Linked DNA regions of Elephas maximus indicus. The protein of the gene in region 1 interacts with the protein of each later gene in a pairwise test. Links are inferred from orthologs where the notes say so. Each region holds a gene or a part of one and is shown in the gene's direction. Other genes may lie near its edges.

Region 1 (7,964 bases):
ATTAGTTAGTAGATAAGAACTACTTTAGGTGAAGGGAAGGACAATATTCAATACAGGGAAGGTCAGCTCAACTGGACTGGACCAAAAGCAAAGAAGTTTCCGGGATAAACTGAATGCTTCAAAGGTCAGCGGAGCAAGGGCGGGGGTTTGGGGACTATGGCCTAAGGGGATTTCTAAGTCAATTGGCATAATAAACTCTATTATGAAAACATTCTGCATCCCACTTTGAAGTGTGGCATCTGAGGTCTTAAATGCTAACAAGCGGCCATCTAAGATGCATCAATTGGTATCAACCCATCTGGATCAAAGGAGAATGAAGAACACCAAGGTCACACAATAACTACGAGCCCAAGACAGAAAGGGCCACATGAACTAGAGACTTACATCATCATGAGACCAGAAGAACTAGATGGTGCCCGGCTACAACTGATGACTGCCCTGACAGGGACACAACAGAGAACCCCTGAGGGAGCAGGAGAACAGTGGGATAGACCCCAAATTCTCATAAAAAGACCAGACTTAATGGTCTGACTGAGACTAGAAGAATCCCGGCAGTCATGGTCCCCAAACCTTCTGCTGGCCCAGAACAGGAACCATTCCCGAAGACAACTCATCAGACATGGAAGGGACTGGACAATGGGCTGGAGAGAGATGCTGATGAAGAGTGAGCTACTTGTATCAGGTGGACACTTGAGACTGTATTGGCATCTCCTGTCTGAAGGGGAGATGGGATGGTAGAGAGGGTTAGAAACTGGCAAAACGGTCACGAAAGGAGAGACTGGAAGAAGGGAGCGGGCTGACTCATTAAAGACTCATTAGGGGGAGAGTAAATGGGAGTATGTAGTAAGGTGTGTATAAGCTTATATGTGACAGAATGACTTGATTTGTAAACTTTCACTTAAAGCACAATAAAAATTATTTAAAAAAAAAAAAGAGCAGCCAAGATTGGGGTGCAGAGCAGGTGGGTGGGTGAGAGAAGCTGGGGGGAGGGGAAGATCCCAGCCCCAGACAAGTCCCTCCCCGCTCTGAACTTCAGCTTCTTCTATAAAATGTGGTAATAATAGCTGCCCTGCTTCTCTCCCGGGGCCCTGAGAGGTCGTTCTGCTCTGTCCTGGGAGGTGTGCAGGAGGCAGGGGACAGGAAAGTGGCCTGTCTGGTGGTGTGGGCAAGTCCCAGTCACCGGAACTAAGTGCAGTGAAGTGTGTCATGGTGGCCAGGAACTCTGGCTCCGGAGTCTGACAGGTTGGGGTTCAACTCTGTAACCTACCACTCACTGTCAGTGTGACCCTGGGCCTCGGCTTTCTCATCTGTAAACTGGGCATTATTATTGTAGGTAGGGATTGAAACTAACAGATGTCAATCACCTGGGGCCATGCCTGGCACATAGTAGGCCCTCAGCAACTGGTCTTCCACCACCCATTCCTGGTCAGAGTGGACATTTGCCACTCTTACTGGCTGCTCTGTTTTTGAACCCGCTTCTCATGTCTGGGGAATCCTCCACCAGAGGCTCCCAGTAGAGTAGCCCTTAAAGCCAAATGCTCGCTTTACCAGCATGCTTTGCAGTGAGGGCCTGCACACATGACCCATGCTCCACCAATCACAGCCCAATCTTTGCAGGAAGCCATGACCCAATCAGGCAGAGACCCAACCCATTCTGGAGGGCCTGGAGCCACCTGGGACAGAGCTCTGCAGGCCATGACCAGAGCCTGGAGCGTCAGCAGGATGACCAGTGTCTACCTGGGCCTCCAAGCCTCCAGGCCAGGTTGTCTGACTCTCCCAGGCTCTGGGGGCTCCCTGCTTGAGTGACCCACAGCCACAAACCCTGGCTGAACCCTCCCCAGGCCTGGATGCTGAGACACTCCTTGTAGGGGTGTCCTCTGAACTGATGACCTCTCACCCCACATTGCTCCCAGGTGTTTACATGCTTCTCCATGCCCGTGACCAAAAATTCTGGCTGGAGCAACCAACTTTCACCACGGAATTCCAAAACTAGACCCAGGCCTTGGACTAATGAGGGGGGCACAGGCCACATTTAGGGGAGATTACACATTTGCACAGGAGAAAGCAGGCAGGTTCTGGGTTCGAATCCCGCTTCCATGGGTTACCAGCTGCGTGATCTTGGACACAGAGCTTAAGTCTTTGAGCCTCAGTTTCTCATCTGTCCCATGGGATAACACAACCATCTTTTGGGTATGTTTTGAGTATTAAACAAGGTAAACGAGGAAAGCCTCTTGCCCCATGCCTAGCACCTTGCAGGCATTTGATTCAAGAAAGTGGGTCTGGAAGGAGGAGCTGGGCAGTTGTTCTCACACTGCAGTTTGCATCAGAATCATTTGCAGAGGCAAGTCAAATGCAGGTTCTTGGGCCCCACTCCCAGACAGCTGGATACAACAAGTGTAGGGTGGGACCCTGAATCTGCATTTTTAGCATGTCCCCCAGGGGCCTCTGCTGCAGGCGGCCGGGACAACCACACCTGGAGAAGCACAGGCTCCGAGGGGGAGGAGGACGGAGGTGGTGAGGGGCTGGCTGATGACCACTACATCACGGGGGTCTCTCCTCAGGGCAGCATCTCTGTGGCTGGGAGATTTACAGACTCCCTCAGGAACAGCCCAACTAGGATGTACGTCCCAGAAAGGAGCAGGCGATTTCTATCCGTTTGCTCTTGGATCACAGCAGTAACAGATTTTTTTTGCCACTTGAACAATGCCCGTTGTAAGAATAATAGTTCACATTTAGTGAGTATTCCCATGATCCAGGTGAAATTACTTTCCTCCTTTCACAGGTGAGGAAACTGAGGCCCAGGGCAGGAAAGTCGCTTGCCCAAGGTCACATGGCCTATGTGTGGGGATTTGGGCCCAGGCAGGTGAGACTCCGCAGCCCAGGCTCTACGCTGCCTCCCCTTCAGAATATTGCTTTGGGATACTATGGGGTGGCACAAAGTCCTCTTATGGTATGGGGTCTCTGGCGAGTGCCTGTGCTTCCGGGCCAGGGACATGAGTCTGTGGGAGTGTGGGGTCCCAGCTCCCTGGCTTCTGATTTTGGCTCATCAGGGCCTTCGCTGCCACCCTGGGAAATCTCTGGGACTCCGCTAGAGGGGGATGGGAAAGAGTCCGAGAGCCCAGACACTCCGATCAGTCCACAGCCAGGTCGGCTCTACCACTCCGGGGCTGTGTGGACTCGGGCAAGATGCTTCTGTCTGATTCCAGGGCCAGCTGGGAACAACAGACGGGTCAGGCTGTGCCCATTGCCCCGCAGAGCCCAGCAGGCATCAGGGGCCCGATAAATGGGGCTCTTCCTGTTATTATCCTGTGGTCCGGATGCAGCTGTCTGACACAGCCCTGGACTTGCTCCTGGTCCAGGTTCCACGCAGGGGGTTGGAGTGTATAGCTGGTGTCTCTCTGCTCAGCAGCCATTCCACCTTCTTCCGGTAAGAGCACCCCCACTTTCACATCAAACAGATGAATTGCGTTTCTGTAACTTGTAGCCAAGACTGATAGTATGAGGACGTCAGAAACATTATCGAGCACCAGCTGTGTCTTAGGTGCTTTACGTGATTCATTCGTTTAACCTCCAGGACAAGCCCGTACATCAGGTAGCAGCCGTCCCCTGTGGAGGTCTGGAAACTGAAGCTCAGAGAGGTTCCCAAACTTGTGGAATGTCACAGATCTGGAACTCTGCTCTGCCTACCACCACAGCCTAGCCCAGCTTTTACATAAGGGTGAGCTTACTTTGGACATGTCATCAGGAGGGATCAATCACTGGAGGAGGACATCATGTTGGGTGATGTAGAGGACCAGCAAGGGTGGGGGAGACCCTCGGTGAGATGGATTGGCACAGTAGCTGCAACGATGGCCTTAAACTTGCCAATGACTGTGAAGATGATGCAGGACCAGGCACAATTTTGCTCTGTTACTGCTTTGTTACTTATCTGTTGTACACAGAGTGGCCAGGAGTCGAAGCCAACTCAGTGGCAGCTATCCATTACATTTATAACTATGATGGACTCTTCTAGCAGAGGCATTCATTCAATAGACATTACTGAGAGCCTACATGTGCCGGTCACGGATCTAGGTCCTAGGGATACATGGTAAACCCAAGGCCCTGCCCTGCTGGGGGGAACCATTCGAGATGGCACAGAGATTTCATAGCACGGGCTGACTCCAGGTGGCAGCAGCTGCCTGTGGCATTATTGTGAGAGGATTCTGGGCCACCTCAGGGCCCAGCAGCAAGTAATGTTGGGTGGATACTCAGGTCTGTCATGGGTGCTGTTAGGGAGTTTCTGAGTGTATGTTGTATGGTGGCCACTCATGTTTTAGACTTTTGAAGGCTGTTCCACAGATAAGTAACAAAGCAGAATATGTCCTGCCCAGAGCACGGGCTCCAATTTTTATTTTGGAAATAGGCTAAAAAAAAAAAAAAATTTTTTTTTTTTTTTTTTTAGCCACTATAGACGTCCCTGGGTGGTACAAATGGTTAAGCGCTTGACTACTAACCAAAAGGTTGAAGGTTCCAATGAAGGTTCTAACCTACCCAGAAGCACTCGGAAGAAAGGCCTGGTGATCCGCTTCCAAAAGGTCTCAGCCACTGAAATCCCTACGGAGCGCAGCTCTGTGTACACACATGGGGTCACCATGAGTTGGAATTGACTCAATGGCAACTGGGTTTTTTTTGGATGGTAAGGAACTTTTTTTTTTTTAAGGAACTTAGGGTGTAACAATTAGCCTAATGTACACATGAACAATACAAGATGGCTGTATCAAAGAAAGGAATGGGACAGTCTGATCCAGAACACAGAAGCGGGAGAGGTCCCATGGATGGGAATGATCAAGGAGGCTCCTTGGAAGGGGAGCCCAGTGGACTTGGTGGGGTAGGGATGAGGAAACGCACCTCAGGGGAGGCAGCAGCCCAGGCAAAGGTGGAGTCAGGAATGCGTGTGCTGTGGGTACGAGGTGGGGTAGGAGTAGGGAGGACTCTGGCCTGGCAGGGGTAGAGATGTTAGAGGGACAAGGTTGAAGAGGTAATAAAGGGGTGGACCACAGAGGCCTCAAAGGTCAGGTCTAGGAGTTTAGTATTGGCCCTGAAGCAGTAGGGAGCCATTAAAGACTTCTGAGCAAGGGCATGTGCAATGAAAGATGTTTCTTGGTGGCTGGAGTGATGAGAGAAGTCAAAGAGATGGGCCGTAGCTATAAAAACCACAGAATAGAAAGATAGCCCTGGCATGTAGGTGAGAGTTGGGGGACTTGGGTCAGTTCCACAGGCAAGTCCCTTATCCCCTCTGGGCCTACATTTCCTTCTCCATTTTCTCTAAAGGCCCTTCCAGCCCATGGCTCTATGAACTGAGATGGGGCAAGGGGGCCACTTGGTTCCATTAGGTTCTCTATTTCCTTCTTTGCTTTGGCCTTGGAGACTTGGCCTAAGGTGGGTCCATCACCCATGGTCTACCCAGGGCTTCAAACCAGTTCCTTCCAGTCAGAACCCCTGCTGAGAATTTGCATTTCTAATAAGTTTCTAGGCAATGCTAACGCTGCTGGCTAGGGACCAACTCTGAGAACCACTAGTAGAGCAGCGGTTCTCAAAATTTATTATACGTAAAAATCACCTGGGGATCTTGCTAAAATGTAGATTCTCATTCAGTATATCTACGGTGGGAATGCAAATTCTCAGCAGGGATTTGAACCAAAATGAACCAGTTCGAAGCCCTGGACCTACCTCAGGCTTCAGGCCCATTTGCCTTTGTCCCTCAGGCGTGTCCCGTGCCTCAGCTTTTGGAAGTAGCATCTGTCTCACAGCAGACAAAACATGGCCTTGGGGCCATTTTCCAGCTGTGTAACTTGAGAGAGGGACTTTGCCTCTCTGTGCCTCAGTTTCTCCACCTGTAGGACTGGTGCTAATCACACCTACTTGGCAGGGATGGTACCTTTAAAGCTGCTGCCGGCAGGCTCATGGTGCTCTGTGGGCAGTCGGTGCTGCTAGTGGCAACCTCCTGTTGTGTGTCGTGGCTCCTGTTGTTTCGTGTGTGGGGCTCTCAGCTGTGAGCTCCTCAGAGCAAAGACAGTGTCCCTCCTCCATGGGGCTGACAACCAGCTGGGCCCCGGTCAGGATCTGACGCCCCAGGCGAGTGTAATTCTGCCCAAGCTCGTCATGGGGACAGTGACGTGGGCCTGCCAGGCCCAGCCAGGTGAACAGCCCTGAAACTTACCCCACCCTGGGCGGGTGGCCTGTGTCACTCCTCACAGGACTGACCAGCATACGTTTCCCTAGTCCCTCCCCAAGGCACCAAGTGTGACAGGCACCTTATCTAACCCACCCCACCAGGGTCTAAATGAAATCCCTCTCCCTTTTCTGGTTAATTTTATGGAACTATTTGTGGGATAAATAATATATTCAAATTTTTTATTTTTCAAAATTTGAGAAAGTGTGCTATAAAAAATCTCCTTACGCCAGTACACAGCCCCTTAGGTTGCCTCCCTGGAGAGAAGCAATCTAAATTCCTTTAAAAAGCAGTCCAGTTTAATTTCTCCCCCTACTCATTACAAAAATGATAAGCAATCAAAGCAATACACAAATTAACTTCAACACCACCACCACTTGGGAACACACACAAAAGTACAAACTGGAAACCCCACCGACAACCCCACTGCCTCAGCATTTTACAGCAGACTCCCCCAGACTGGTTTCAGTGCACATCCGCTTTTCAAAAAAGGAAAACAAAACACAAGGCCAGACTCCCAGTACGGACTCTTCAGTCAGTTAACAGTACTCGGGAACATCTCCTCAAGGCTTCTTCCTTAAACAACTTTAACAGCTGTGGGATTGTCCTAGATAATGACTTCTTTAACTGGACCCTGGTGATGGATGTTTGGGATTTCCAGATTTTTTTCTACTATAGGGAACATGGAGATGGGTTTGTGGAAGAAGAAATGCCAGGTCACATGTTACGGTCACTTTAAAGACCCCTGGATACCTGTCACCTAACCACCTTCCCCACTCTCAGCAAGACTGGTCTTCAACTCAAGTCTGGATCTCCTCAAGAAAACAACACTTACATTAAAAAAAAAAAAAAATCAAGATGGAAAGGATTGATATAGATGAACCCTCGAGAGGATCACCCAGAAATGCCCTTTAAACTTGGAACTCAAACCACTCCCAAAAGTCATCTTTCACTCAAATGACAGACTGGCCCATAAAATACGTAATATCACCGATGTGTACTGTGCTTCTCAAAACAATCGTTTAGATGAAACCACATGGTGAACATTTACCCGGACCAAGATGAGAAGGCAAAGGGAGGGGCAGGGCGGCTAGATTAATGGAAACATGACAAGCAAAATGGAAATGAGGATGCTGATCTATTGTGAAGAATATAACAAACGTCACTGAACAATATGTATAGAAACTGTTAAATGAGAACCTAATTTCTGTGTAAACTTTCACTAAAAACACACGAAAAAAAAAAAAGACCAAGAAGTCTTGGTACATACCTGTCTCAGCAATAGCTACGTGCACTAACCCCACCTCCAAATTGAGAGAAAGGTCAAACCCCTTCTGCCTTTCCTGGGTGGCCAGCCATTCTACCATGAGTCAGCTGATCAGGGGCGGGCACCACCCTGCTCTTAGCTAGCAATTAGCCAGCAGGAACTCCAGCTGGGACAACAAGAGCCACCACCTTGCTGGGGGGAAGAATACTCTCAGCAGTTGCTGGAGGACAGAGGACGTGCGGCAACACCTGGCCTGCAGGTAAGACTGGGGCCCTGCCCCTATACTGGCTGGGGCTAGGATGAGTGAGATGTGCTCTGGTCTCCTTCCCTCCCTGCGTCTTCCCTTCTGGGATTTCCCAAGCAGATTCCTCTCAAGGTGCTTTGCCCTTGGTCAGGTTTGAGAGACGAGCGGTCTTCTCTCAGATATCATGCAGTCATGACATCATAAGACCCCAGGCTCCTCTCACTGACCATGACAGTGCTGGA
Region 2 (8,130 bases), on another chromosome or scaffold:
AGATCTAATAATAATTCTGGCCCATTATCTTAAGCTTAAATAACTAAAAAAAAACAAAAAACAAAAAACCTTTCCTCTGAATTCAGTGTTTTTCTTATGGAGCTAAAATCTGGCAAAACTGGGGTTGAAAAAAAAAACTCAAAGAATTATTCTGAATTCCTATAGAAAGTCCATTAACACCAGTCTGTGTTGAAAACGACAGAGTTAGAACAGCCTATCAACATCCTAACTAAACAAGCTGGTTTCCTAAAGTTCAGTGGCATTATGTCTCACATTATTTTTGAGAACCTTGACTCACAGAAGATGTATGAACGATTGTTATTATGTACATTTATGTACAGTATAATTACAACACACTTCTATTAAAACCAAGCTAATTTTAATTAAGTACACTGTAGAAATAACAGATTGATGAGTAAAAACAGAATACTTGTGCTCAAGTAACAAATGAATTTGGATGCATAATATCCAATAATCTTTTGGTAACAATTAGTAAAAGTACTTGAATCTGAATAATTGTTCAAGGAAATACATAACTTATAGGGTCACTATGAGTTGGAATCGACTCAACGGCAATGGGTTTGGTTTAATGGATCATGTAACATGGAACGATCAGAAGTAAACTGGAACTCTTCACCTTTTCCACAGTGAAATCAAGCCAAATATGCTACGAGACACAAACGATTCAAGTAAATTGCAGTACCCACTAAGATCTCTCGTTAAAATGGGAAAATCGGAGAGTGTTTTGTAGCAAATTAGTATTTCCCAGCAAACTTTCTACAATTCTTAAATAATCTAATTGTAGGACAGTCTGATTTCACTGTCACAGTGATCTTATTTCAAACCAACAAACGGGCATACAGAAAGCTTGTCTCCATACCTATACCAAAAAAAAAAAAAAAAACCCCAGTGCTGTTGAGTCGATTCCGACTCATAGCGACCCTATAGGACAGAGTACAACTGCCCCATAGAGTTTCCAAGGAACACCTGGCGGATTTGAACTGCTGACCCTTTGGTTAGCAGCTGTAGCACTTAACCACTACACCACCAGGGTTTCCTCCATACTTATAAAGTACTCAAATTCATGTTCTCAACTGTTTTAAATCCAGGTTATATTGCAGTTTACCACAGCAGGTGTCCTCTTCCAAAAACTAAGGCAATATTCATTTTCTAGTAGACCATGGGCTGTGTGCAATGAGACCAGCCAGTATATGGGTGTATGTGTGAAAGGGTGGGTGATTGTCCCTAGGCTGAGCAGGTGACGAAGGGAGGCTAACTGGACTGTAGAACCTGCCTCCACCTCTGCCTGTCACTCAGCTTCAGGCCTCCTTTCCAAACCTCAAAAAGACCAAGGTTGTTACTCCTCTCAGATTTCTGCAGTTGCTATCATCTCTTCCTACACGTCTTTGCAGGGATGGCTCAAGTTTCAGCTCCAATGTCACTTCCTCAGAGAGGTCTTTGCTGACACCCGATCGAATGTTACGCACTGCCCCTCTTTATGCTATCCCCCGGGGATCATGTTCCATTATACAACCTTATTTTACTTTTCATCAAAGCAATAACCATTATGCTATTTTCTCTGCTTCCCACATTAGAATGTAACTTCCAAAGGAGCAGAGACCCTATCTTAAGTCATGACTGCATTCCCAGGGCCTAGGTCAGGACCTGGCACGTAGTAGGTAAAAGACTGACTGAATGAAATGAACTGGTTTTTAAAATCATCAGGAGGCCAAGCATCAGGAATGAAGGACATAGAGCAGCCGGAACTCTCATGCCCTGCTGGAAGAAGTGGGTATTGGTACAATCACTTTGGAAACTAGCAGCATCTACTAAAGCTGAACATACGCATCACCTGCGATTCAGCTGTTCCATTCCAAGGGATATACCCAACAAGAATACACACATATCATCAAAAGGCATAGACAAGAATATTCCTAGCAGCATTATACAGCCATGAAATTGAAGCAACTACAACTCCATGCAACTATGTGGGGGAAACCTCGGGAAATATAGTTGAGCTTAAGAAATAAGACACGAAAAGAATACAAACTATATTGGTTTTGTTTACGTAAAGCACAAAAACAGACAAAAGTCATCTGTGTTGTTAGAAGTGAGAAGAGAGGATAACCTAGGTAACTGAAAGGAGACATGGCAAGGCGACTTCTGGGATGCTGGTAATGTCGTTGCTTGATCTGGATGTTGGATCCGTGGGTATATTCTCTTTGAGAAAATACATTACCCTCTACATTTATGATTTGTGCACTTCCCCGAATATACCTTATTCTTCAGTGAAAAGCTCAAACGTTAGTAGTTCTTCTGAAGAAGCAGCATAAGGAAATCAGAGCCTCTTGTACCCCACTCTTAGACCAATCCAGCATTTCATCTCAGCACAGACATTCCCCAAGAGGGATGGTGGATGGAATAGGAAGACAGGCCTGACTTGGCCATGCAAAAGGCTTTGGCTTCTATAAGATAACCCACTACAGGCTCTGGATGTCACAGATACTGGAAATCTGGAAGACACACACCACTCAGTCCAGAGGCCACACCCAAGAAAAACAGATCATTGAGTTGCAGTAAAAACAATGATACCTAAAACCAAACCCATTGCCCCGTTGAGTCAGATCTAACTCATAGCAACCCTCTGCACAACAGAACGAAGCACTGCCAGTCCTGTGCCATCTGACAATCGTTGCTATGCTTAAGCTCACTGTTGCAGCCATTGTGTCAATCCATCTCCTCGAGGGGTCTCCCTTTTTTTCTATAACTCTCCACTTTAGGACAAAGTAGAACTGCCCCATAGGGTTTCCAAGGAGCAGCTGGTGGATTTGAACTACCCACCTTTTGTTTAGCAGCCAAGCTCTTAACCACTGTGCCACCAGGGCTCCAAAAAACAATGATAGCAGATATTTATTTCACCAATATGACAGAAGGCTGGGCCAAAGCTCTTGACACATTTATCTCATTTAATCCTCACAATAACCCTAGAACAATGCTGGTACACAGTAAGTGCACTGTTGGTGCTCAATAATAAATATTTGCTGAATGAAAGGTAGCTGCTATTATCACTTCCAAGGTATCCAATGTTATACAGAATGACAGAGCCTTAACTGACACTCTGAACATCCAGATTCCAGTGACTATGCTCTTAACCACTTCTCCTTACTGAGAAACTGGATAATGTCAATAACACATGCCAATGAGAGCTCACTTTTGGTATGTTTATTATAATAAGTTAGGTTTCCTAACCCATCGAGTGGCCAACTGAATCTCAATTTCTTTACCCACAAAATGAGGATAAATTTTTAAACACCCACTGTGTGCCAGGAACTATTCTACGATTGTTGAAGATTAAGTGAAATGCATAATGATAAATTCACTCCCCCACTCCCTTAATCCCCCTTCCATTTATTTGTAAGAGGCAATGGTTTTTTTTTTTGTTTTAATAATATCATGAGTGTTACAGAACTCACATACAGTTAACACAAAATTTTGCATTCCATTTAAGGGGATTCATAAACCTTTTAAAGTCCCAATACTGTCCTCTGTTACAGTTAAAAGCTGTTGCAGAGGGGTTTGGCTAACTATGCTCGCACATCCAAAACCTCCACTGGCACTCACAAGCACCCAACAAAACAAACAAAGGTCATTTTTTTACAGACAAGATAAAATTAACATATCCAATCACTGCGTTTCACAGATAGTAGCCCAGAAGAAAACAATGCTTTTTTTCCAGCTGACGCGTTTTGCCCTCTATTCCGGGATCAGCCTAGAATAATTGGGAAAAGCGCCATTAAAATTTTCTTCTGGAAAAAAAAAATGTGAATTAGAGCCCAGCAGTAAAGAGCAACTAATCCAGAAAAGACCTGGGTACTAAAAGCGACCCAGACTTAAAAATGTTTTTGTCTGGGCAAAATCGCTACATCCATAAAATGGGGTAATAACTTTTGCTGTTCCGCCTTCCCTGTAGTGCAACACTGAGGCTCAAAGCAGGAAACAGATGCGAGTGCATCACAAGGGGCAACATAGACGGAAGGAACAGTTCCGAGCATTGCTGAGAGTCCGAGGGCGCTGCTGTAGGCTTCCGGCTTCCCCAGTGCCAATTCTCAGTCCCTGGCGCAGCAGGAAGCATTTTAGGAGTTGGGATGGGGAAAAAGACGCCTTTTGCCGGGGTTAGAAAGGTGCCTGGCACTTAACGGGGGCTTAGTAAATGTCTGCTGAATGAATTAGTGAATATGTGAGTCTGTAGAGAACACCCTCAGTTCTAGCGGCTCAGGTCTGCCTCCAGCCCGCAGACTCACCCGGAGACCGAAGCTTCCTCAGGCTGGGCGCAAGCCCTCTGCTTCCCCCCGCCTCCGCTTCAGGAGCTCCTGGTGCTGCAGCAACTCTAAATTGCCCCAGCTGGACGCCTCCTCTTACAGCCACGAGGATCGCGACCAAGCCGAACGCCACCGGCAAAGCCGATGCCTCGCTAAGGACGGCAAGAAGAAGGTGGAGAAAAGAGAATTTCGCGCCAAACGACGTAGTCCCGCCCCCAGGCTGTCTCCGTGTTACGACACCAACCAGCTCTCCCGTCCCGCCTACGTAGATTGGACGCATGACGTACGTCTGCCGACGTGCAGCAGCCATCATTGGTTTGGGCGGGGTTTCTGTTCACGGAAGTTAGTTCCTTCCACATCAGAGTTTCCGGTTTCAAAATGGTCGCCTCGGAGAGTTAGTGATTTTTCCATCCCCATCGAGTTTTTTTTTTTTTTTTTTTAACCTGGATGTGACGTATTAAAGGACCCGACGGAAATAGAGCTGAAGGCTTTCTAAGATGGCGAACCGTACGGTGAAGGATGCACACAGCATCCACGGCACCAACCCTCAATATCTTGTGGAGAAGATCATTCGGACGCGAATTTATGAGTCCAAGTACTGGAAAGAGGAATGTTTTGGACTTACAGGTGAGCGGGAGCGCGCGCACCGCCTCGGCTGCTTGTGGCCCACCCCCCCTGGCTGGGCGCTGAATGGGATTGGCCCCTGGGGGCAAGACTGGCTCAGTGTTGGTGGGTAGGATTGGAGAGGAGTGTGTCATGAAAAGGAGCCCTGGTGGAGCAATGGTTAAGCGACAAGTTCGAACCCATCAGCCGCTCAGCGGGAGAAAAGATCTGGCGATCTGCTCCGTAAAGATTTCAGCCTAGGAAACCCTATGAGGGGCAGTTCTACTCTGCCCTATAGGGTTGTTATGAGTCAGAATCGACTTGACGGCCACGGAGCTTTTTTTTTTTTTTTTTTTTAACCATTAACGAGCTATCGCTTAAGAAATCAGACTGCAAGTTCTTTAGGATAAATTCTGTATTAATATATTCAGCATTATAGCTAAACAATTTATAGCTAGGCACTGTGCTGAGTACTAGAGATACAGGTATATGGATGAACAAGACAGACACAGTCAATACTATTAATGAGTTTATAACTTAGCAAGGCAGGAAGTATGAAAAACGAAAGTATGATGAGTAGTTTGAAAGAAGCAGCAGAACGCAATAGAAATGTACGACAAGGGAACCTAACCTAGCGTTGGGAAGGAAAAAAACCCACTGCCATCCAGTCAATTCTGACTCATAGCGACCCTAGGACAGAGTAGAACTGCCCCATAGCGTTTCCAAGGCTGTAAATTTTATGGAAGCAGACTGTCACATCTTTGGCCTGCCGAACGGCTGCTGGGTTTGAACCGTTAAACCTTTTGGTTAACCACTGCGCCACTAGGGCTCTGTTGGGAAGGGAAGTGGTTATGCTTTTCAGAAAAATCGGTCTTTTTGTTAGGAGCTGAGCTGCCTCACGTAGGTACTTAGCGTTTTATGTATATTATCGCATTCAATCCTCACTACAACCCAGTTGAGCTGACAGACTCAAAGAGAGATAAAATGACTGGCCTAAGATCACACCGCTATTGTTTGAGTATTGGCAACAGTGTTGGGAGGTTATTATTGCCATTCTGTGGGAGAGACTTACTCGAGGTTGTGTAGCTATTGAGTTTTTTTTTTTTTTTTAATTTTTAATCCAGCAATTTTTTCCCTAGCATGATGGTGATGAGCGTGGACTCTGAAGTTAGACCGCTTAGATTTAAATCCAGGCCCTGTAACTTTTTGGCTCTGGGCCTGGAGCAAGTCACTTAACCTTTCTTAGGCCTGAGTTTCCTTATCTAAAAGTAGAGAACAATGCTAGAACTTAGGTCATGGTTTGCTGTGAAGATTAAATGAGATAATATGAAATGCTTAGCAGAGCACTGGGCATATAGTAAGCCCTCAATTAGATGCTACTATTGTTATTTTTATGGAGCTCTGGTGGCACAGTGGTTAACAGCTATGGCTGCTAACCAAAAAGTCAGCAGTTAGAAGCCACCAGCTGCTCCTTGGAAACCCTGTGGGGCAGTTCTGCTCTGTTCTGTAGAATCGCTATGAGTCGGAATTGACTCAGCGGCACCAGGTTTAGTTTGGTTTTGGTGTTATTATTGTTATTAATATGCACTTGCTCTCCTAATACTAAACTGTTGGTGAGTGTTCTGGAGCACCAACACGTGAACTGACTTCTTTCCACTTCACACCAGGATAAGCTTAACCCTGAAGTATCTGAGATGGCACTTGATTTGTTTTTGTTTTTCTTTTTTTAGCTGAACTTGTAGTTGATAAAGCCATGGAGTTAAGGTTTGTGGGTGGCGTTTATGGCGGCAACATAAAGCCAACTCCCTTTCTGTGTTTGACCTTGAAGATGCTGCAGATTCAACCCGAGAAGGATATCATTGTAGAGTTTATCAAAAATGAAGATTTCAAGTGAGTGTGATGTTGACTGGCTAATACAAAAGCATCGTTTTGGACATCCCAGAATTGGACTTTGGTTAAGAGGAATGAACATAGTATCTCTCATTTCCACAGAGACTTCCGCTCCAGGGTTTTGCTCTTGAGTCCTTGGGTTTGTGTTTTGCCTGTTCTGATTGAATTGATATTCTCCTTTACTTTCTTAATCTTGGTAACTTCTCCCCCAAAAAAGAGGATTTCTTTACCAATTCACTGAACATACATTAAGCAGCAGTGAGGATCTAATGTGTTGGTAGGCACTGGATACTTTAGGGTGAAGAAAACAACATAGTATGGTAGATAAGAGAGAAAACCATGGTGTTAGACAGGTCTGAATTTTTATCTAGACTTTATCTCTAATTAACTGTGACCTCAAAGAAGTTGACGTAATTTTCTAAGCTTTATTTTCTTTGGAAACCCTGGTGGCGTAGTGGTTAAGTGCTACGGCTGCTAACCAAAGGGTCAGCAGTTCGAATCTGCCAGGCGCTCCTTGAAAACTCTATGGGGCAGTTCTACTCTGTCCTATGGGGTCGCTATGAGTCGGAATCGACTCGACAGCACTGGGTTTGGTTTGGTTTTGGTTTTATTTTCTTTATCTGTAAAATTCGGATAACAATACCTACTTGTAAGATTGATTTTAAAGAAGATAATGCATGTAAACCACTCAACACAGCATCTCTTACGGGATAAACACCCAGGAAATGTCAGCTGCTGTAATTGTTTATCATTCATCATCAAGGAGCTTACAGACTACTATATGAGACAGAAATCATAGCTTATTACATGCCATCCTCTAAGGGCTTTTACCCTCACAACATATAATAATAATTCATTTAGCCCTCACAACAGCCCTGTCAATAAATGTTATCCCTATTTTACAGATGAGGAAACTGAGGCACAGAGAGTTTAAGTAATATACCCAAGGCCAAACAGCTAGTAAGTGGCAAAGTTGCTTCAGAGTCTGTGTCTTTTGCTGTATTATTCTGCTTATTTAAGAAACAAATGGAATACAGCGTGTTAAGTATTTTTATAAGTGTATATAATATGCTATAAAAGAAGGAATGTGGGGAGAGGGGAGCATCTAAATCAGCCTGGGGTTTGGGATTCTCAGAGAAAGAAAGTGATTCATAAACTGAGTTTTGGAGGAGGAAGTGTAGAGTGATAAAGTTGGAGGCACAGAGGCGTGAAGAATACCATGTACCTCAGCTACAAGTAGTCCTGCGTGTTTTAATTAAGTCAAGTTGGCGCGTAGGATAGTAGCAAAGTCAATAGTGAGATTGAAGGATGGGCTCCA
Region 3 (7,566 bases), on another chromosome or scaffold:
AAGTTGCTCAGTTATGAAAATTTTGTTTTTTCACTTCCTTACTGAAATTTTGCATTATCAAATATTAAAATTTGCAGTCATGAGACTCTTGTGTAATAGATACATACTATAAAACCAAACCAAACCTGTTCCTGTAGAGTCAATTCTGATTCATAGTGACCCTATAGGACAGAGTAGAACTGCCCCATAGAGTTTCCAAGGAGCATTTGGTGGATTGGAATTGCAGACCTTTTGGTTAGCAGCTGTAGCACTTAATCACTACACCATCAGGGTTTCCAGTAGATACTATACATATTAGATACTTTGTATAATAGACACAATTGATCGGGAACTGACCGATATGATGTTATTTTCCCTCTAAAGGAATAAAACACTTTTTCTTTAGTACTGGATCACTGACATCATTGCTTGCATCTATAAAGCATGCTATTTTCTGTGTGCAAAAATGATGCTAATGCCCCTTCGTCCACATGATTTGTTACTTTCTTCTAAACGTGCAGCCATGCACTCATCCTGTCTTTCTGAAGACCAAGTCACACATCCATTTGTGAGGTAGATAACTGAGCCTAAATATATATGTACAGAACTTGTTTTAGCCAAGTCATTAAAAAAAAAGTCAGAGATATTAGACATTGTACCCAAAGTGATTGCAAAGGGAATAAAACGGGAAAAAGCAAATTTCTTAAGACTGTCACTTAGTTCACGCAGCTTAGTGAAAGTAATGTAGCATTATACTGGTACATGATCTTAGCCTTCTTCAGGTTTATCATCAAACTACGATTAATGGTGACTCTGCAAAAACAATTCATATGTAGTAGTAATCGTCAGCCAGAATGTTCCTTAGAAGCAAGAATGGTGAGATTTCATCTCACGTACTTTGGACATGTTTTCAGGAGAGATCAGTCCTTGCAGAAGGACATCATGCTTGGTAGAGTAGAGGGTCAGTAAAAGAAAGGAAGACACTCATTGAGATGGATTGACACAGTGGATGCAATGATGGGTTCAAGCATAGCAATGGTTGTGAGGATGGCACAGGACCAGGCAGTGTTTCGTTCCGTTGTATATAGGGTGGGTATAAGTCAGAACCACCTTGATGGCACCTAACAACAACAGTAATCATCAATATGGGAGTCCCTGGCTGGTGCAGACAGTTAAGCACTCAACTACTTCCCAGAATTGCCTGGGAAGAAAGGCCTAGTGATCTGCTTCTGAAAGGTCACAGCTTTGAAAACCCTATGGAGCAGTTTTACTCTGTACACATGGAGTCACTACGAGTCAGAATGGAATCAAAGGCAACTGGTTTGAGTTTTTTTTAATTATGGCATGTAACAGCAACAACAACATGTTTAGGCCGATAGAGCCTAAGAGAGTGTCCCTTGGTTTTCCATTGTGTGGAAGAGGTCTAGAAATTCCTGTGTAACTCTGAAGGGATGCAGGGGCTAGCTATGAATTAAGAGAGTTTACTTCCTAAGAGTTACCACGGCAAAGGCCAAGCACAGCAACGATTGTGAGGATAGCGCAGGACGGGTGGTATTTCATCCTGTTCTTGATAGGGTTGCTATGAATCAGAAATGATTCAATGACACCTAACAACAACAACATGACAAGTGTATGTTAGCTTCATACGTAGCTGCCAAACGATTTTCCAAAGTGGTCGTACCATTTTACATTCCCACCAGCAATAGATGAGCATTCCAACTGCTCCATATTCTTGCCAACATTTGGTATTTCTAATCTTCTTTAATCACTTCATTGTGGTTTAAATTCCTGATGATGTTGAGCATTGTTGTCACATGGTAATTGCCTATTTACGTATCTTCTGTGGTTAAAATACCTGTTTAACTATTTTGGCTATTTCTTTTAAAATGGAATGTTTGTTTTCTTAATATTGAGGTGCAGGACCTTTATTTATATTCTAGAAATCCTTTGTCAGACAAATGTTTTGTGAATATGTTTTCCCAGTCAGTGACTTCCCTTATTATTTGATTGATTGATTGAGATGATGCTTTTAACTTTAATGAAATCCAATTTTATCAATTTATTTTATGGTTAATGATTTTTACATCTTATATAAGAAATCTTCGCCTACTTTAAAGTGTTGAAGATTTTCTCTCATCTTTTGTTGTAGAAGCTTTATAGTTGTTCTTTTATATTTAGGTTTATGATCCATTTTGAATTAATTTTTTGCATATGGTGTTAGGTAGAGTTCATGGTCATTTATTTCCAATGGATATCTAATTGTTCCAGCACTATTTGTTTGAGGATTGGAGGAAGATTCAACACCTCTGATATGCAGATGACACGACCTAGCTGCAGAAAGCGAAGAGGACTTGAAGTATTTAGTGATGAAGATCAAAGGTCAGTATGGATTACACCCAAACTTAAAGAAAACAAAAATCCCACAACTGAATCAATAAGCAGCATCATGATAAACGAAGAAAAGATGGAAGCTGCCAAGGATATCATTTTACTTGGATCCACAATCAACAACCATAGAAGAAGTCAAGAAATCAAACTACGATTGCATTGGGCAAATTTGCCCTCTTTAAAGTGTTGAAAAGCAAAGATGTTGTCCTGAGGGTTAAGGTGTGCCTGACCCCCCAAAAAAGCCATGATATTTTCATTTGCCTCATATGCATGTGAAAGCTGCACTATGAATAAGGAAGACTGAAGAAGAATTAATGTCTTTGAATTACAGTATTGGCAATGAATATTGAATATACCATGTACTGCCAGAATGAACAAGTCTGTCTTGGAAGAAATACAGCCAGAGCACTCCTTGAAGTTGACAATGATTAAGACTTCATCTCAGGCATGTACTTTGGACACATTATCAGGAGGGACCAATCCCTGGAGAAGGACATCATGCTTGGTAAAGTAGAGGGTCAGCGAAAAAGAGGAAGACCCTCAAGGAGATAGATGAACACAGTGGCTGCAACAATGAACTCAAGCATAGCAAAGATTGTGAGGATGGCACAAGAGCTGGCAGTGTTTCGTTCAGTTGTACAAAAGGTCACTGAGTCAGAACCAACTGGACGGTATCTAACAATAACAACATTGAACACTTAATTGAATTTTTCTAATCCTTGGAAAACATTACAGTAACTCTTTGAGAATAAGTTTTCAATTCCCATTTACAAGGATACGAAAGATTGTTGTTAGCTACCATTGGGTCGGCCCCCAACTCATGGTAACCTAGTGCAGAACAGGATCAGATCATTGTAATCCATTGGCTGATATTTGGAAGCAGATCAGCATGCCTTTCTTCCTTGTCCATCTTAGTCTGGAAGCTCCTCTGAAACCTGTTCCGTATCATGTCGACACACAAGCCTCTACTGACAGGCAGGTGATGTCTGCACGTGAGGTGCATTGGCCAGGAATCAAACCTGTCTCCTGCCTGGAAGGCAAGAATTCTACCACTGAACCACCACTGTTCCCTTAGATTGGTCATAATTCTTTATATTGGGCATCAAGTAATAACAAACTGTGGACTGCTTGTCCTTTTGTGAACGTGAAACTAAACCAAGCTGAACCAGTGGTTTTTGGAAGCAGTTAGTCTAGATGATTCCGACTCACGGTGACTCCATGTGTATCAGATCAGAATCCCTGTCCACAGGGTTTTCAAAGCTGTGACCTTCTGGAAGTAGACAGCCAGGCCTTTCTTCCAGGGTACCTCTTGGTGGGTTTGAACCACCAATCTTTTACTTAGTAGTTGAGTACTTAACTGTGTTCAACACCCAAGGACTCTGAACATGGTATTAGTCATTATATCATAATGTTACCTCTTTTTCAAATTTTCTTTACCTTGTGAACTTACTTTGCAGTGAAGCCAAATTATATTTTCACTCCTTTGAACTCATAATTTCTTTCATAGATTTTACTACATTATGTAGCTATGTAATTTTCAGCCACTTTTGTAGTTTCGATTCCTCAATGGTCTGTTTAATCAACTGTGTACCTCAGGGCGTAAATGATTAATACAAATTTGTTATGTGCATTAACAAAGTTATATTAAAATACGGTATAATTCCTTCCCCCAATTTAAAAACAAACAAAAACTATGATTTTTTGGCAAGAGAGCTGCATTCCCTGCGATGCCTTTGGGTAAACCTGGGGGCCTTAAGAAAAACATCTCATACACAGAAAAAGTGGTGGCTTCAGAGGAGCCAGCCTGGACTTGTTCTAAACAGGATTCTGATTTCCAGCACTAAATTGGGAGTACTGCGGGACGATTTGGGACGACAAAACGGACACGTTACAGCGCCACAGCCTCCACTATGCGTTTCGGTTGAGAAGCTACGCAACTGAGCGGTGAACACGGCCCTCAACCTGGCTAACCTAAGCCCCCGCAATAAGACTCTTTACGAAGACGACGGGGCTGCGGGGGGCGGGGCGACGTGGTGACGTCCCGCTACTTCCCTTCCCCGTCTCGCCGCTCCGCCCCTCTCCGCACTGTGACGTTCCCAGACAGGAACGAAGCGTAAACAGCGAAGGGCATTTCGGGAGCGGGATTGTTTCACGCAGGAAGCAGGCTCCATTTTAGCGCCGCCCGCCGTCGCCATCTGTTTCCTTTCCCTCCTCTTTTCCCCCTCCCGTCCCCAAGCCCTATCGGGAAGGCTGGGTCTAGGCCACAGGAGCCTGGCGTGAGAGGAGAAAGGGGGAAAGGGGAGAAAAAGGGTGAGTCGAGAAGGGTGAGTGGGAGAGGCCAAGGTGCGAAGCGCGCGGCCCGGCGGACGGACTGACGGACGGGCCCGTGCTACTGTTGCCGCGGCTGCGGCGCCCGCGCGAGTCGCGTCGAAGCGGCGGTGGCGGCGGCAGCAGCAGCGGAAACAGGAGGGGAGCAATGGCGGCCGACAGCCGGGAGGAGAAAGGTTAGTGAGGAGAAAGGTGACGGGCGGAGGCGGGACTCGGGAGTGGGAAGATGGGGCCTTGGTCGTTGCGGGGCGGAGGTGGGGGTTGGGGAGGTTAACCTGCCTCGCGCGGAACCAGTCGCCGCACCCAGATACTGGGACTCGATGGAAAGTAATAGGCCTAACCTTTCGTCCTCGGTCTTCGTGTGGCCTAACTTTCCATCCCGCCTAGGGGTTTTCTTTGATCCAGATTCCCCTCTTCATTTTCTATTTAGCTGTCCTGGGAGGGGCTGAAGGAGATTTAGCTGGCCTATTAGAAGTTGCAGGCCTCTAGGTTTATTTCCTGGTAGGATTATGCGGATATAATGCGTAGATTCAGAACAACGCTTTCTGTTAGGCTGAATTTCGAAAATCCCTTATGCTATGATCAAAACCGGTAGTTTAGTAAATGAGCACGTATAAGAAGTCGTACAAGTGGATTATTAATCCTGAGAAGTGTCTACAACTAACTTCTGGGTGTTCTGTTAAATAAGCAGAGTGGCATGAACTGCACGTTCTGTTCTTCGAGCGCTTATTTTGGGAAATAGGGTTTTTTAAAAAAGATAATTAGGATTAGGGCTGGTCAGGAAATCCTGGACATTACTTTGATAGAAACACATTGTGCGTATCTCTGAGAGGGCACAGTTAGGAACAAATGGGTGGAAGTTATGGAGAATTCGGGGGATAAAATTTCAGTGAAATATAGGAAGAACTGATACTGCCAGAATAGAATTTTTTTTTTGATATACCGAGCTCCCAGACCCTGAAAGTGTTAATGTAGATCCTGAATCAATACCTGTTTGGAGACGGGTCTGGATTAGTTGGTAACCTTAAGGTCTTTTTCAACTTTTAAGATTACTATGATAGTCTTGGAAAGGTTATAATTGATGAAAATGTGGCACAGGTGGTGGTCTGTGTCTATTGTGTGGCTAATTATTTGGTGTGGGGGCTTTTAAAAATTGACTTCAGAGTCAGTTGTATTAGGCCTGTGATCCTCTTTGATTTTTCTTGTTCCTACATTAGGAAAGTCTTCGTGCTTCAGTGATCATGTAACAGTAAATGGTTCCTAAAGTGCAGTCTCTCAGTTGTCGAAGATAGTTTATTTACTTATCTGAATGCTGTCTTTGTTTCTCTGCCCCTGTTTTCCTTGTGCAGTAAATAATCTCACTCCTTGAATCTGGGTGTTTTTTGTTTTTTTTTTTGCCTTTGACTATAGTGTGTTTGCCTTCCTTCAAATACATATCAAAAACAAAAACTGACTCACTCTCCAGACCAAATCAGATCATCTTTCCAAGTGTCCCCCTACAGTGTATGCATAATAACATTTTGTATATTTTTGCTAGATAGGATAAAATGACAGTAATACTTCTCTTTTCTGTATATATGAAATCTCCTGTAAGGCTCTTTCCTTTCACATGGCTCTTTAGAGATTCCGTTATTTTAAAATATGAATAGTTCGTGATCAAAAGAATAAGGATGTTGGAGTCAGGCAAATCTTGATTCAAGTCCTAGTTGGAACCTAGAGCAAATTACCTAGTTTTTGTGAGCCATAATTTTTTTGCCTATAAAATGGGGATACTAGGGCAGGTAGTCATGGGATTAAATGAGTTAATGAGCAGTGCCCACATATAACAGTTCATAAAATCATAGTTTCTGCCCTATATCTTTCTGTTTTGGCACCCTTGCTCAGTCTTGAATCTCTCCATGCCTGGATAACTACAAATGTCTCTGCTTGGCTTCCTGACTTATTTTGCTCATCCCTAGCACATGCCTGGTCCACTGCTGCAGAGTTATCTTTACAGAACACTGATTTATTGTTTGTCTTGTTCTCAAATCCGATTCTTCAATCAAAGACTAAATTCCTTTAGCAGATTTTATAAACTTGTCCACAGTATCTTTCCAGTGTTCTCTCTTTATGTTATACTAGGAAAGATGATAGGTGTAAATTCATATAACAAATATCTTAGATTGGAGATTGAAAAGAGAAAAGTAAAGCAGAGAGTTGATCCTCATTAGAAGTGAAGTGTCAGTGCCATTCTATGAATTGTAGATATATGTAGATGGTATTTAATTTCTTATCAATCTTTCTAGTAAGGTAAAAGTTGGCAACCCTGATACTCTGTGTCTGTCTCCAATTTATTTAGGTTCTTTGTTATTTTATTTTGCTGTATTCCATGAAATCCAAAAGTTGCTCTTGGGAGATTATTGTTTTGCAGTTCTCTGTGCTAGACTTATTCATTCATTTAACTGATACTCATTGAATGACTGCTGGTACTGCTGGCCGCTTGGGTAGTGGAGTTGGTGGAAATATGATTAAAATATTGCCCCTGTCTTAAAATACTCCATTGATTAGGTTGTGGCACTTTATTTTAAGCTAAATCTTTTAAAAATTCACACTCCCTTTGTTGGTGAAATTTAAAAACCAAGAAGAAATGTGAAAATAAGATTGCATGGTAAGTGATGGAGACTGTTTTCAATTACTAGAAGAATCCATTATTAAAGTAGGTGATTTTAGTCAGTAAGAATTCAGTCAACATTTAATGTGTGAGAATATGATTTATGAGCTGAATACAATTTATGGGTGTAAATGGGAGTGGGCAGTGGTTGTGGTAGGGTAAGATAAACCAAATACGGGATGAGTAAAACTCAGTACTCATCAAGCATTCTTTGTCTGTTA
Region 4 (7,454 bases), on another chromosome or scaffold:
CCTATCCTGTCCAATACTTCTCCAATTACTTGAATATATATCCTCCAATAAAAGATCTAAGATGTGGGAAATACATCAGAATGTTAATAATCATCTTTTTTTTTTATTTTTCTTTTCCTCAGTATTTTCCAAATTTTTCTATGCTAACCAGCACATTTTCATAATTAGGAGAAAATGCTAGATTTTTATAACATGAAACACTTTATTTCACATTTATTTATTTTAGGTTGCAATAAAAGAACATGAAAAAGTATCAAATGATGTAAAGTGATCATTTTCAGTGAAAGGCAAAGTAGAACATATTACAAAGAAAATGTGTTCAGTAACTTTACAATTACACACTATGAGGAAACTTTTAAAAACATGTTATATTAACAGTCAGTGGAAAACAATGATTTCATTATGATTCAATTTATTCGCAGACCGTTATGTCACATAAACAAGCTCACAGTCATATTATATATGGTATTGATGGGCATTCCTAAATGTATGCTAATCTTTTTTCAAACAGTCAGGTTTTACAATGCACTGTTCTATTTAGTATAAGCACTGTATTTCTACCGCAAAGTAATGAAGACACAAGTAGTACAAGCAGACTTAAACCCTTAGTCTTCCAGGCAGAAGAAAAAAAAAAAAAAAAAAAAACACTTGCATTGGTGCTTCAGGAACTTTTTTTTCCAAGCAAATATTTCTCAGTTAACAATTCTGAGTTTTCACAGCTGAAATCTAACAGAAATATGACAAAAGGACTTCACAAAAATCAATACTCTGTAGCACCAAACTAACATGCTCTAGATAACTGATAGCAGTCTATATATTTTGAAGAATATTAAACTACAACAGGCTAAATAGAATAAGCAAAATACTTAGACACTTTTTTGGACAATTTTTAAATAGACTACCAAGAAAATACGAAAACACAACTGTAAGGAATACTAATGTTCAGGATATAGAGCAGGTTTTTTTTTTTCCCAAGGCTATATAAACCTGCTTCACTTCTTCTTGAAGTTTTGTGGTTCTTGAACAATCTGACAGCCTTATTTTTATTTTTGGTATTTCCTGTTTCCATAATCTTTACCATCTTCAAAACTACCACTGGCCTCTCCTGTATAGTAATAGATTGATTTCAGGATGACATTATCATGTAAAATTTGACCAATTGCAAAGTCCTCATCAAGGATAGCATCTTCTTGTGGTTCCAGCTTTCCGATTTGGGGAATCTCAGGAGGACTGAAGAAATTGAAGAATGATGCATTGGGAACCAGTCTTGGCTGGATTTCAACTTCTCCAGTAGCAGTTGTACGTCTGCGGGTAGTTCTCACGGTAACATCCTTTCCTCTTCTCCAATTGATCTTACAGCCTTTGCAATCTTCAATTTCCCATCCCCAAGAGAAAAAGGGATCACTGTGATCTGGTTTTGACCTTATTATGTATGTCTTTGTCAGCACCTCATTTCTGAAGTAGGGATTGGGTAGAAAATGAAATTCAAATGTGTAACTTATAGGCTGGCCAGGCTTTGAGAACTTCAGGCTAACATCTGACAAGAACTTCAGAATGGGCTCATCGTACTTCTGAATCATAGGCCCGAGCTTGTCAACATTCTTTAAAACAGTCAACCAATAGTCAGGAATGCCCTTAGGATCTTCTTTTTTAGGCTTTCCCCTACGAGCTCTTTTAAGATTAATTCTTTCTTTAGGCCTTGTCTCAGGAACTCTTTTAGGAGCCTCTTTTACTGCAGTCCTTGCCTTTGCCTCTGTTGCTTTAGGCTGTTCTTTTTCTTCTGCCTTTGCCTGGGGGACTTCATTAGGATCGTCTTTGACAGCAGGCTCTGCCTCCAGAATATCTTTAGAATCTACTTTTTCTTCAGTCTTTGCCTCAGGAATTTCTTTATGAACTTCTTTTTCTTCAGCCTTTACCTCAGGCTTTTCTTTAGGGTCTTCATCTTCTTCTTCATCCTCTAGGGCAGGCATTTCACTAGGGGTGTCATCCTCCACCTCCTCATCACTGCTGAACACTTCATCGTCTGAATTCCATTCACATTCTTCTTCTGTAGGTTCATATTCTGCATTGATGATTTGAAATCGCCTATCACATAGAGGCTTATTGAGTTCAGCATATTTTCTTTCAAGATCATGAATTGCCCTTAAGAACAGGGCGTCTACCTTGTCACATTCATCCTGAATATTTTTGAGTGCCTGCACGCGATTTCTAACTGCCTGCGGCAGCCTATCCACGAAATGGTTACCCGACCGAGCCCCCCGCACCCTTCTGGAAGGCCCAGGTACCCTCTTCTTCTTATGTGAGCGACTGTGGCTACTGCTGCTGCTGCAACTAGTGCTGCTGCAACTAGTGCTGCTGCTGTCAGATTCTTCCCCAGGATCTCTTGACGAGCTAGCCATCACCTCTTCAGCAACCCCCTGGGCGGCAGGTTCCGATACCTTTTTTAAACAGGTGTCCGCCATGTTGCAAGGCTGCAAACCTCTTAAGGTGGCGACTACTGCAGAGACCGCGCGCCCAGAGATGGGTAGAAAATGACTCACGGATGCTTGGGCGGCGGCGGCGGTAGCGGCGAAGGCCCGAGCTGTGGAAGTGGCAGCAGCGATGGCAGCAGCAGGAGCGCTCGGGTAGGCGGGGCGGGGGCTGCAGTGACCCCCGATGAGGTGTCAGCGACAGGGGAGGAGGCCTGGGCGACAGCGGCGGTGGCAAGGCCTCTCCTGGCTGCAGCTGCGGTGGACGGAGGCGGTGCCGCAGCCGAATGGCGCAGAATGAGACCCCAAGATCTCTTCTCGGTTCCGATCTCAAGCCCCCTCCCTTTGCAGCCAGATCTCCCGTTAATTTCGTTCCCGGTGTGCCTTTATTTCGCACTTCATTTGCTGGGAAACCTTGATTGACAAATTCTAGACCCAATGAATGACCAAACCCAACGTTTTTCCCACCCGGCTCCGCCCACCTTCCCAGACGCTCCTAGGTGGTTGAGGCACATATTATTTGCAAGACTTTTCTTTCCCTCCTCAAAACGCTGTCTTTATAGTTTTATAATTCAGAAAAAAAAGCTTAGACATGGGGTAAAAATATCAATCAGCCATAGTTCCTAACAAGGGGAGAGACGTGTCCTTCTCTCCATCCAACCAACCTGAAATTACGTTTGGTTTTTCACGGGCCTCCTGACAAAAATCTGTTTAAATTTTTTTTGACTGGAAGAAAATACTCCAAATGGCATCATTGGGTAGCGTGACTGTGGATGATTTTTTAAACAGCTCTTTACTTTGCGTTTTTCTATATTATAAATGTTTTATGAGCATGTATTTGTATACTGATAAAAAGGGGGGGGAGTCGCTTATTGGCAAAGGGGGGAGGGGCTAGATAGCAGGCATATTGCATTCCACGTAGCAGTTTTAATAAGTGCTGTTGTGATGTTTGGCAAGCCTGGTTTATATCCAGCTACAAGGTTTGTGCACCCATGATGCCGTGAGTCAGTTACACCGTTTTTACTGTATTTTTTTTTTCTGTTAAAGCTGGCATGTAATAATATCCCAACCTTGCTGCTGACTTGCCACGGGTAGCACTTCTCAAAGCTTGCAACAACCTTGGAGATAAAACAAAGGGGTATTCAAATGTCAGGTAGTACTACTAAAAAGCAAAAGGTTTACTTTATGCTTGTGTGCAGCAGGTTTCAGTTTCACGAGTAGCAGGATGGAAGAGGGGATTTGTGCTAATGAAGGTGCATCTTCTATCAGGGTATACTTTACAGTGTCATCTACCACCAGTTTTCTTCTAACATTGTAAAGTTCTAGCCATGCCAGATTATAATTTACATATCCAGTAATATGTGAATAAACTTGCAAACTGAAGTTTAAAAACAGGTATCTCTTATTTCTATTTACAGGATTATTTTCTGCTACAGAACAGCTCCCTTGGTACAACTAAAAAGAACTGTTTACTTTTCATTGAAAGGTAAGGAACATATTTAGCCCATATTTATGAATGACAAGAATTACCCATCTGTATTTGAATAAAAATTCAGAGCATATAGTCTTTTAAAGACTGAATTGGAAGATGGCTTGATATTTCTATGGCAACAGAAAAATCTAAATTAAATAGTGGTGATTTGGCATACTAGTGTAGAAAATTACCCTTAACCATATTCACTATCTAAACGTGGGCATAGAATATAAGTAAATAAAAATACAAAATATACTAAACTATTCATTTCGAATGAGGAGAAATATTAAAATTATACTAACCTTTGTATTTTTTGTTATAGGATTTGTGCTTTATAATTCAGAAGTTATGGGGACGCTTTTATTTTCTAATTTGTGAATGAATTAACTTTTATTGTTTATTTCTGATCTTCAAAGCATATGACCATTACAAAGAAAAAAATCCAGTATAGAAAATTGCAGTGATAGTAAAAACACAAACCTTTAAAAAATATATTTTACTGTGTTTTTGGAGAAAATTTACATAGCAAATTAGGTTTTCCTTTAACAGTTTTTGTACATATTATTTCAAAACCCATTGCCGTCAAGTCAATTCCTGCCCATAGCTATCCACCCCATAGGGTTTCCAAGGACTGGCTGGTAGATTTGAACTGTTGTTCTTTGTGGTTAGCAGCCAAACAGAACCACTGTGCCACCAGGGCTCCTATTCAGTGATATTGGTTACACTTTTCACGATGTGTCAGTATTCTCACTATTTCCATTCTGGTTGTTCTGTTTTCATTAATTAGCTTTTTCTGTCCCCCCTCCCTTCTCATCTTTGGTCTAAGGTAAATGTTGACTTTTAGGTCTCATTTAGATGATTGTTTAGAGGAGCACAGTACTCACGGGTGATATTTATTTTATGAGCCACTCTGCCTTTTGGCTGAGAGGCCACCACTGGGAGTGGTTTGAGTTCCAAACTTAAAGGGTATCCCAGGGTGGTAGTCTCAGGGGTTCCTCTAGTCTCTACTGGTCCAGTAAGTCTGGTCTTTTTTAGGAATTTGAGTCTTGTTCTACATTTTTCTCATACTCTATATGGGACCATCTATTGTGTCCCTGGTTGGGAGTGGTCGTTAGTGGTAGTTCTTCTGGCACCATCTAGTTCTCTTGGTCCCAAGGTAGGTGAGGCTGTGGCTCGTGTAGACTATTAGTCCTGTAGACTAGTTTCTTCTTTGAGTCTTTGGTTTTCTTCTTTGTTTTTTGCTCCAGATGCATAGAGACCATACTGTAATTGTATCTTAGATGGCCACTGCCAAGCTTTTAAGACCTCAGACTCTACTCGCCAAACCCAGTAACTCAGTTCCTCGAGGTATTTGGTTATGTCTAGGAAGCATGCATAACTGTGTCCCCAACGTGCTTTGTTTTATATGTGAATATATATGCAGCACACACAAACGTATATATACATTTGCCTACAGAAATACCTATACATGCGCACCGATATATTCATATGTGCTTACCTATACATATATAAGCATACGTATCTACCTATGTAACCACACACATATTTTTTGGTTATTTTTACTGTTGTTGCAAAATTGTATACGTCGTGGCGTTTACCAAAATTGTCCCTTATTCTTCTGTACTTCTTAGTGTCATCATTTACCTTGGTCAAGTTGTGTAAAAACATAAATCTTAACGACCAATGAACAATAAGCACTGTTAGCATTTTGATACATATTCTTCCAGAAATTTCTTTGTGCATATAAACACCTACCTATTTACATTTACTGGTTTATGTATACAACAATGTATTATGTTTTGTAACTACTCATTTAATTATGGATTATTAATCAATTATGGATGTATTAATGGATATAGTTTCATGTCAAATGATCAACATCTTTTAACAATAATGGGCATCTTGTTAATGGGTGTTGTTATTTTTTTATAGTACTTTAATGTTTTGTACCATCAGGAATTAGTGTTTAGGAGTAAGCAATAAGCTAGTGATCCATTTTTTTAAATTTATTTTTATTAGCCAGTTTTTTTAGTACCATTTATTTGATAATCTTTCTGTCCCCCCTTATTTGAAATATCACCTTTATCATATTAACTAAATTGCTTGAGTCTATTTCTGAATTCTCTATTTTGATCCATTGACCAGAATTTTTCTGCAAACAATTAATGAGCCATTTTATTTTGCTTTTAAATAATTTTGTATTTTATGAATATGATATGGGCTTATTGAAAAAAAAATCAAGCAGTACATGGAAATCCAGGGAGCCCTGGTGGGACAGTGATTAAAGTACTCAGCTGTTAACCAAAAGGTCAGCAGTTCAGACCTACCAGCTGCTCCCAAGGGGAAAGATGTGGCAATCTGCCTTGGAAACTCTAGGTCGATATGAGTTGGAATCGACTTAACAGCACACAACAACAACAACATTGAAATCCAAAGAAGAAATTAAAAGTAGCCCAAAATATACTATGAGGTAATCACTACTATTCACATTTTTTTATGAACATCTCCAAATTAATTTCACATTATTATTTATTTGTATTCTTACATTACCCAAAAACTTAGTGGTAAGATTAAAAGCCTTTTCCTGTGTTTATTGTCTATTTGAGAATTGTCTATCCATGCCCTTTGCTTGTTTTTCTACAGGATTAGAAAAGAAATTAATTGGTGGCCAAATCCTATCCTAATAGCAAAATAATTTTGGCCTTGATTTAAGGCAAGTATGACTACAAGAAAATATCTCTGTTTTGACACATTTGAGGAAATGTAGCCCCCCTAAAATGGTCTCTCTGTCACAGTGACAATTTTTTTTTTCTTAAAAATTTATCCCAATTGACTAGATAATCTTGGACAAATGTGACTAAACTACAGCTTTCATTCTAAAGTTATCTACTTGGAGTTTTTTTTTTTTTTGGATGATTTTCAAGGAACAATACTTTATCATTCACACTAGAAAAGTTTGGAATAGGACAGGAAGAAGAAAAAAAAATAAAACAAACATATAAAGATAACATTTTACTGAACTATTCTGATATTCAATTTGGAACTATTTTTTCTAGCTGTAGACAATGAAAATAGTTGGAAATAGGTGACTTTGTCCAACTACAATGCTCTATTTTTTCATGTGCATGTTCTGCTTTAGGCTCTCTAGTAACATGCTTTTATTTTTTGTAGCTGTTTTTGTTTTATTAGTTTACTTAATTTTATAATGGTAGGTCTCTAAAAGAAAATAATTTTTCTTCATATAATGGATTTAATTTTTGCATTGTGTCATATATTTTCTGGTGTAAATATCTTATAAGCAGTAGTTCTTATTTTATTCATAAGGTTATATATAAATTACTTGCATAGTGATATGTTCTCTATTCCATTATTTTTTGATATTCATTTCGGGGTTAAGTGTCCGTATTACTACATGAGATGATGCTTCACACAGAATATGTTGGTATAATCAGGGTGAATATGGCTCTTTGGTATCGGTTTACACTTTCCAGGATAAGTGCATATACACTATC

Evidence for each region.
Region 2: the proteins of SDCBP2 (region 1) and PRPF38A interact in binary tests that used the Homo sapiens proteins (3 or more experiments, as listed by UniProt). The two-hybrid records come from large-scale screens. The link is inferred for Elephas maximus indicus from reciprocal best matches to the Homo sapiens genes SDCBP2 and PRPF38A.
Region 3: the proteins of SDCBP2 (region 1) and YTHDC1 interact in binary tests that used the Homo sapiens proteins (3 or more experiments, as listed by UniProt). The two-hybrid records come from large-scale screens. The link is inferred for Elephas maximus indicus from reciprocal best matches to the Homo sapiens genes SDCBP2 and YTHDC1.
Region 4: the proteins of SDCBP2 (region 1) and FAM133A interact in binary tests that used the Homo sapiens proteins (3 or more experiments, as listed by UniProt). The two-hybrid records come from large-scale screens. The link is inferred for Elephas maximus indicus from reciprocal best matches to the Homo sapiens genes SDCBP2 and FAM133A.

Annotation. Positions count from the first base shown.
Region 1 is NC_064843.1:39,398,825-39,406,788, reverse strand, and holds the start of SDCBP2 (syntenin-2), read left to right. Parts: upstream 1-4,617; 5' UTR 4,618-4,675; intron 4,676-7,649; exon of another isoform or gene 7,650-7,737; intron 7,738-7,964.
Region 2 is NC_064821.1:95,523,929-95,532,058, forward strand, and holds the start of PRPF38A (pre-mRNA-splicing factor 38A), read left to right. Parts: upstream 1-4,756; 5' UTR 4,757-4,816; coding exon 4,817-4,946; intron 4,947-6,652; coding exon 6,653-6,812; intron 6,813-8,130. UniProt on the Homo sapiens protein: Involved in pre-mRNA splicing as a component of the spliceosome.
Region 3 is NC_064823.1:90,890,255-90,897,820, reverse strand, and holds the start of YTHDC1 (YTH domain-containing protein 1), read left to right. Parts: upstream 1-4,487; 5' UTR 4,488-4,843; coding exon 4,844-4,871; intron 4,872-7,566. UniProt on the Homo sapiens protein: Regulator of alternative splicing that specifically recognizes and binds N6-methyladenosine (m6A)-containing RNAs.
Region 4 is NC_064846.1:66,542,881-66,550,334, reverse strand, and holds the start of FAM133A (protein FAM133A), read left to right. Parts: upstream 1-3,935; 5' UTR 3,936-3,954; intron 3,955-7,454. Other genes in the region: NAP1L3 (nucleosome assembly protein 1-like 3), read right to left, coding at 1,044-2,462.